Canis lupus familiaris: one gene and its partner. The protein of the gene in region 1 interacts with the protein of each later gene in a pairwise test. Links are inferred from orthologs where the notes say so. Each region holds a gene or a part of one and is shown on either strand. Other genes may lie near its edges.

The links.
Region 2: the proteins of TFCP2 (region 1) and CA1 interact in binary tests that used the Homo sapiens proteins (3 or more experiments, as listed by UniProt). The two-hybrid records come from large-scale screens. The link is inferred for Canis lupus familiaris from reciprocal best matches to the Homo sapiens genes TFCP2 and CA1.

The regions. Positions count from the first base shown.
Region 1 is NC_049248.1:42,972,809-42,977,037, forward strand, and holds the start of TFCP2 (alpha-globin transcription factor CP2), read right to left. Parts: upstream 2,831-4,229; 5' UTR 2,543-2,830; coding exon 2,421-2,542; intron 1-2,420.
Region 2 is NC_049250.1:32,469,913-32,473,555, forward strand, and holds part of CA1 (carbonic anhydrase 1), read right to left. Parts: intron 2,187-3,643; coding exon 2,091-2,186; intron 51-2,090; coding exon 1-50. UniProt on the Homo sapiens protein: Catalyzes the reversible hydration of carbon dioxide. Can hydrate cyanamide to urea.

The sequences.
Region 1 (4,229 bases):
CTTCAGGCTCCCTGTGTGGAGTCTGCTTCTCCCTCTGCCTGCGTCTCTACCTCTCTCTCTCTGTCTCTTATGAATAAATAAATAAAATCTTTAAAAAAATACAAATTAATGCAAATGATTAAACATGTATCAGAGTCAAGAGAAGAGTGACAAGAGCAAAATGCATAAAAAAGAGGAAGGTGAAAGAAACGAAGAGAATATACTTCAAGTTTTGGCATATTGTGCTCTAGGGAAAACAAAGTTATGTTTGAAAACTCTTATACAATTGATGTAGGAAAAAAAATTCTAAATGTGTAAAAACACAAACCGTGGTACTAATACCAGTGATGACCACTTGGGTATATGACATAGGAAAGCATTTTTAAATGTAAGGTTGGCTGGTACAGAAGGCACATAACAGATGTACACAATGTTTGTTGACAATGTTATCTCTCTCTTTTTTTTTTAAAGACTTCATCCATTTATTAATGAAACACAGAGAGAGAGAGAGGCAGAGACACAGGCAGGGGGAGAAGCAGGCTCCATACAGGGAGTCCGATGCAGGACCTGATCCCGGGACTCCAGGATCAAGCCCTGGGCCAAAGGCAGGTGCTAAACCGCTGAGCCACCCAGGGATTCCCGATGTTAACTATTTTCATACAGTTTCAAGTACAGTTACATTTAATTATCTTCATCCTCCAATAATCTAGAGAAAACCAAACTTTTCGCTGTGTTAGTCTTTACATGAACAGCAGGACAAATTGTCAAATATTATGTCAGCTACTGCTGTACAAGATCAGGATTGGGACATTTACTTTCAGACCAAGCTAATCTCTATTTTTAAGGGCAGACTTATGTAAACAAGGACAGGCAAAACTAGAATTAAATTTCTCAACCCTAATTAGCATCGCATGATAGCACTTAAATTTCCCTGAAAAATCACTATAATACGTATAGAAGGATAGCCTTTATTATTCTGAGTACTGAAGATGAAGTATTAAGTTCTAACTCATTTTACTTCAGTGAGGAAAATCCATTTTGGTTTGACAGGGACAAAGACAAGAAGTTTGCATTACATAACTCTCAAAGGATCTCACTATCAGAATATAAAATTTGTCCACTTTCCCCCTTTAAAAAAAAAAAAAAAAAACCCTTCCCCTATAAATCTGTAAATTCAAACTGTGATGTTCTAAAGTCTCTTGAAAACTCACTTATTGGGGATCCCTGGGTGGCTCAGCGGTTCAGCATCTGCCTTCAGCCCAGGGTGTGATCCTGGAGACCCGGGATCAGTCCCACACATCAGGCTCCCTGCATGGAGCCTGCTTCTCCCTCTGCCTGTGTATCTCATGAATAAATAAATAATATATATATATATTAAAAAAAAAAAGAGGGATCCCTGGAATGGCTCAGCAGTTTGGTGCCTGCCTTCAGCCCAGGGCATGGTCCTGGGGACCCGGGGTCGAGTCCCGCTTCAGGCTCCCTGCATGGAGCCTGCTTCTCCCTCTGCCTCTCTCTCTCTCTCAATCTCTGTGTGTCTCTCATGAATAAACAAATAAAATCTTTAAAAAAAAAAAACTCACTTATTTATCTTCAGCCTGAAAAATGCACTTGGAAACCCAATTATATTCCACCCCACGCTAAGCTGCAGATGTCTCAACAGTCCCAGAATGACTCTTGTACGCCTCATAAATGAAACCAACTCTACTTGGGGAATGAAGCAGCTCACGCACAGCAAATAAATTACATGGGAAGAAGTCATGCTACTTTCGCAGATTTTTATTTGTTATCAACATCTGCCTGGATGCACTATAAAGTCCAGAAGTATCTAAAAGTTATCCGAGACTTTTCCTTTTCCAAGCTTATGTTTCAAAAAGGCAAACAATTCCCAGATTGAATCCGTAGAGCCGGCCAAAGTACCGATGCGTGGACTTGTTCGCCCAAGGAAGGTCTCGCTCTTCCTCCCAACAAGCAGGCAACCGACCTCCATCACTCAGCCCCAGCTCTCCGACTCCCGAACATCCCCGACAGGCCCCACGTCGCCCCCTTCTCGCATCTCTAAGTCTCCCGCGTTGGGCACGACAGACACCCTGTGCACGTTCACCTGTTTTGCTAACCAAGGGCCCTTCTTGCATCTTCCACTGACCCCGCACAGACCTGACGCTGCCCACCACCTCTGGCTTCCTTTCTTTCACAACAGTCCCTATTCAGAGCAACAAAGAAACGAGTCCACGTTCCCTAACCGCGGCTTATTTAACTCTATAAACACCTCCCCCTTTGTCCCCACCCCCCACCCCCTACACACACACACACACACACACACACACACACACACACACACCACCTTCCATTCTCTTTCCTGCTTTTGTTATTTAGAAGAGTGCAAGGGTCTGGATCAAAAAAAAAAAAAAAACAGAAAAGAGAAAAAAAGCAAGCTCACTCACCTCATGCTATAGGCACCAGCACCCAGTTCCTGGCCGATCCCGGACAGACTAGCGTCGAAGTCCTGCACCAGCCCGGATTCAATCACTTCGTCGGCCAGGGGCAGCTTCAGAGCCCAGGCCATGCTGGCTCCTTCCCTGCCCCAGGAGACCCCGCTGCTTCTCGTACAAAGGCGAGCAGTGGGGTTCTACCCCACGGGGCGGGGGGCGCGGGCGCAGGGCTGTCGGGGACTCCCTCCCACCCGAGGTCGCCCACGCAGACCCCTCGGGCCCACCCCAGGCCGGAGCCGCACCGCCCGCACCACTAATCCCAGCTCCCGCCTCCACCCCCAGGCTCCCTCGCACCCAGCCCCCCGCAGCCGCGCGAGGGCCCCTCGGCTCCCCCAGCCCCGGGCCCCCGAGGCAGCCCCGGCCTCCCGCGCTCCCCCTCCCCGGCCTCCCCCGCTGCCCTCCGCACACACCCGCAGCAGCGACCCGCTGCCCGCCCGGCGCGCGCACGCCGCCCCGGCACCTCCCCCCCGCCCCCCGCCAGGCCCCTTCTCCGGGAAGCCCCCTCGCTCCGGGGACCCGCGCCCGCTCGCCCGCTCGCCCGCTCGCTCCCTGTCTCCCCTCCAGGCCTCGCTTCCGGTCAGCCCCGCGCTCACTTCCGGTCAGCCCTCCTCAACCCCAAGGCTCGCAGAACCAAACCCAGGGGTCCGCCAAGCCGACTCCCCGCCCCCTGCAGCAGCCCCCCCGCCCCCCTCGCGGCCTCGGAACATGGAAGGGGAGAGCCCAGCAGCGGCTGGAGACCCAGACTCGCCGGGGTCCCCCCCACCGCCCTCCCCGGCGCCAGCCAATCAGGGCGCCCTCTTCCTCTGCGGGTCCGGAGACCGTGACGTCACCCTGCGGCTCGCCAATGAGGAGGCGAGCCCGTGGGACCGGGCAGTGCTGATTGGCTAGCTGCGCGGGATGGGCGGGGCGGTCCGGGAGAGGGCCCCGCGTGCGGCAGGTGGCTCCAGTTTAAAGGGCCCTGCCTGGGGCTACCTGGCCGCTGCCTCCCGCGGGCTCCCAGTCCGCGCTCTAGGGCGCGGGGGCGGCCTGCGCCCCGGGCCTACCGGACCCGCCCCGGGCCTGGAGGATCGCGGGCCGCCTCCCCGGCGCTCCCTCCCCGTAGGCGCTCCTCTGCGGCTGGAATACTCCCTGCCCTTAAGCCCCCCTCTCCGAAGGTCAAGACTCCGCTTCTGCTCACCTTCCGCGTTCCCCCTAACGCATTTTGGACGGGAAAGCAGGAGATGGCTGAAAGTTGTAGTTTTTAAAAGGTCGTGGTCTGAAGATCAGGATTCGGGCTGGCGGCTTCGCTTAACGGGTCCGGTGACTCTCGAATCATCGTTTACTCTCGTTGAGATGGAGATTCCTCGTTTGCAGAGTGGGGATAACCATACCCGGTCCACCTTCTTCCTTTATTTAAGACCAAATAATAATGTCCATTGTTTATTAAGCATCAACTATATGTCAGGAACTTTATGACATTATTAGTATCCCTCAAGACAAGCGCGTAATTACAATTATAATTCTTTTTTAAGATTTTTTTTAAAAGATCTTATTTCTTTATTCATAAGAGACACACAGAGAGAGGCGGAGAAGCAGGCTGATGTGTGGGACTCAATCCCAGGACTCCTGGATCACGCCCTGAGTGGAAGGCAGATGCTCAACACTGAGCCACCCAGGTGCCCCCCCCTCCTTTTTTTTTTAATTTTTATTTATTTATGATAGCACAGAGAGAGAGAGAGAGAGAGGCAGAGACATAGGCAGAGGGAGAAGCAGGCTCCATGC
Region 2 (3,643 bases), on another chromosome or scaffold:
GCGTTTAGGGCATCCAGCACTTTCTGCAGTTTTGGATTGGCTTGATCAATCTGGAGATAAAAAAAAAAAATGTGAGTTAGAAATTGTAATAAAGTCAAACTGTGTTTAGCTAATTTTTTTTTTCCGATTAAAAACAGTAACTGAAGGAAGGGAAGACACTTTCTTTCTGCTTTCAGAGAGGGAATTTTGCTTGGTGTAGGTCCTTGCTGGCCCTTGTGCTCTATAAATGAATTGTTCATGATGTGTAACTGCTGTCAACCAAAAAACAAGAAACTGGCTCAAGGGGCAACGCATTTATTGGAGATCAAAGAATCGCAATTCGGGGCACACAGATTGGGGTAGAAACCCAAATAGCATTCCAATTTCAGGACAGAGACTCGGGGTATTTGTGGAAGAAAAGGAAGATCACGTAAGTAGTTTTTGAGAAGGGTTCATGTGTGCTGACCAGCAAGGTGGGATTCGCACTTCACTGATTGGGCAGGTGAAGTGGTCACTATGCAAAAGTTCACTTTTATCAGTTCTGTCGATAGGCTGTTCTCCTTCTTGCTGACTTCTTGGGATGTTGGTGGTTTGGCCCCAGCACAAGGAAAGTGGCAAACAAAAAGCTCGATTTTAATTTAATATGGTCAAGATGTTCAAGGACACACAAGTCAAAATCCCGGAACTTAGCAAAATCCAGGAACTGTGACACCAAACACAACCTCTTACTTTGGGCCTGTTTCATTAGTTATAATCGGTACAGTGTTTGGTGCGTTGTAAGTGATCAATAAAGGTTAACTAGAATCACTATAATTCCAAAAGTTAGCCACCTAAGTGCGATATTTATAATAAGAAACCTGTTTATGACACAGTGCTCCTAGACCCCTTGGAATTTCCTAAGTGATAGTGATAAAGGTATCTTCTGTTATGTTGACTGGGGGGACTTTTGAACTGAATCTAAGGATGAGGGCTGGATGCCAGGAGAACCAACTATGCGATTAGAGGGTTGGAACTTTCAGCTCTACCCTCAGACCTCTGGGGACGGGAGAGGGGACAGAGACTAGAGCTTGAATCAGTTGCCAAAGGCCAATGATTTAATCAGTCGTGGGTAAATAACGAAGTCTCCATAAAAACCCAAAAGGACTGGGTAGAGAGAGTTTCCAGATGGGTGAATTTGGAGAGATACAGGGGAGACAGTGGGCCTGGATAGGGCGAGGATGCTCTTTGCCTCTGCCCATACCTTCCTCTGTGCATCTTTTCCATCTGAGTTATATCCTTGTGTAATTACCAGTAATCTAGTAAGTAAAATGTTTCTCTGAGTTCTGCGAGCTGTGCTAGCAAATTAATTAACCTCTTCCAAGCCAAGGAAGAGGTCATGGGAAACTCTGATTTATAGTCAGTCAAGTCGGAAGCCCCACTAACAATGTGGGCTGCAGACTGACACCGGAGGTGCGCGGGGGAACTTGCAATCTTGTAAGTCTGAACCCTCAACCTGTGGAACCTGAGGCTATCTCTGCATGGACACTGTCAAAATTGAGCTGAATGTCTGGATGCCTGCTGGTGTCCAAGAATTGCTTGCTAGAGGTGTGGGGGATATCTGCACATCGGAATTTGGGGAGCAGAACCCAAAAGACCCAAGTATACCCAATTCAATAATAACTTCCCTATAGAACTTTTCAGGGACTCTCCTAGAGAGGATTTAAGCAACACCAGCCATTTTAAACCTTAACTGAACTTTCTTTATGGGACAATAATCCTCTTAATATTTTTTCCCTAATGATGCATTAAATTGGTAAATTCCTGAGCCTGTGAAATAGGAAGTTTAGAGGAAAAGGAATTTGGAAAATTTGGAGTATAGAAGTTCCCTCTCCCTCCAACACCTTCCCATTCTATCCCTACCTGAAACTTAATTCTCTTAAGAAGGTAGAAGCCAAGAGAAATCAAAGCAGCAAAGTACTAGGGAGCTGTTTGCTCACCTGTAGCCATGAGTAGAATGGAAACATTTTCAAAAAAGAAAGACTCAAATATCTTTTTGCCTTATTTTATACTATTTTGGTGTCTGATTGGTAAGAAATAGTGTTAGCCGATCTCTGTAACTCTCTGTAACTCACCTTCATCAAAACAGCAATAATTGCCAAACCATCAGCCTGTGAGACAGCTTCAGCAAAGCTGGAGTACTTTGAAGAATTCCAGTGAACTATGTGAAGCTAAAAATAATAATGTGGTCAGTTAGTTATTTATACCATTGTGAAGAGAGAACGTTGTAAATTAACTTGTTAATAGATGAAGATGTGTTTGGCTTAGATAACGTTTATGTGAACCTGGGTCCAGCAGATAGGAAGGGTTATGTTCTCACTCTTAAGAAGGGTTATGTACATTGAGTAGAGCAGGCAATTTGCAATTCTATGGAACCAGTGAATAAAATTTATTTTCCCGTAATATCACAACTATTCAGTATTACTTCTTTTTAAAAATTGTTTTGGTATGAAAAGATCAGGAATTCCAACTAACTAGTTTTCAACAGAACTGAAATAACACCTGTCAGGTGAGGTACTTTTTAGTAACTTTATGAGAAGGGGTTCCTGGACAATCTGAGGGTCTTGGCCCAAAACACATTCTCTTAAGCACATCTAGGCACCTCTCGAATCATCATCTCTAGCCTAACCTCTCTATGGAACTCTAGATCTGAATATCCAGTATGTCATCTCGGTATCTTCTTGATATCCCCGCATGGATGTCTAATAGGTATCTCAAACTGAACATGGCCAAAGTACAACTCTTGACTTTTTCCTTGCCAAAACTCTTTAATTTTCCCATTTTTGGAAAAGGGACCACCATCTACCTAATTGCTCAATCAAAAAGTACAACAGCTATCATTGATTTCTTACTTTCCCCACTTATCAACAGCCATCTCTCAGCACATCTCATAGATTATACTTCCTCATTCAATTTATAACTTCAAGTTTTTTTGCATTAGTTGCTGATTTTTTTCTGGAATGTCCTCTGTAATCTGTCAATGGCAGCCTTTTGTCTTGAATTAGGGCTGAACACAAATGCTATTACTGAAAGAATCCTTCTTTGATCTCCTAATGTAAAGAGATCACTTGGTCAATCATATTACTTTACATTAGTTAATTCTCCCCATACCACTTACCTAATTTCTCTTGCTTGCTCTCTTTCTCTCACATTCTTTCTCTCTCTCTTTTCCTTCTCTCTCCTTTTCCTCTCTTTGCCCCAACTCCTGCTCTCCCTCTCATTTTCCCTCCTGGCCTCAGTCACATGTTGAATTTTGTGGCTAAGCACCTCTCATCTCTAGCTTGGATTATTTTATTTTTCTTAAAGTAGATGAGAAGATCATTGACTTAGATTTCTTAGAAATCGGTGTGTCCAAACTTGAACATTTGAGTAGGAAGCAAATGGTATGGTCAGCTCAGAGTCAGAGCTTTAAAGGAAAGCATTAGCCTCCTCTTGAGCCTAGCCTGATGTGGAGATAACAGTTTTTTGAGGCATCCTGAAGAGAGTGATGGTTCTTGGGCTCAGGAGCTCAACTCCAAGTTGCCTTTTTCACACAAAAAAATTTCCTTCTGTTACCAAACTTAGTATGTGTGTGTTTGATTTTAATAGGGCCTGGGAGTTCCTTCTAGGGATGAGAAGGCTTATTCCT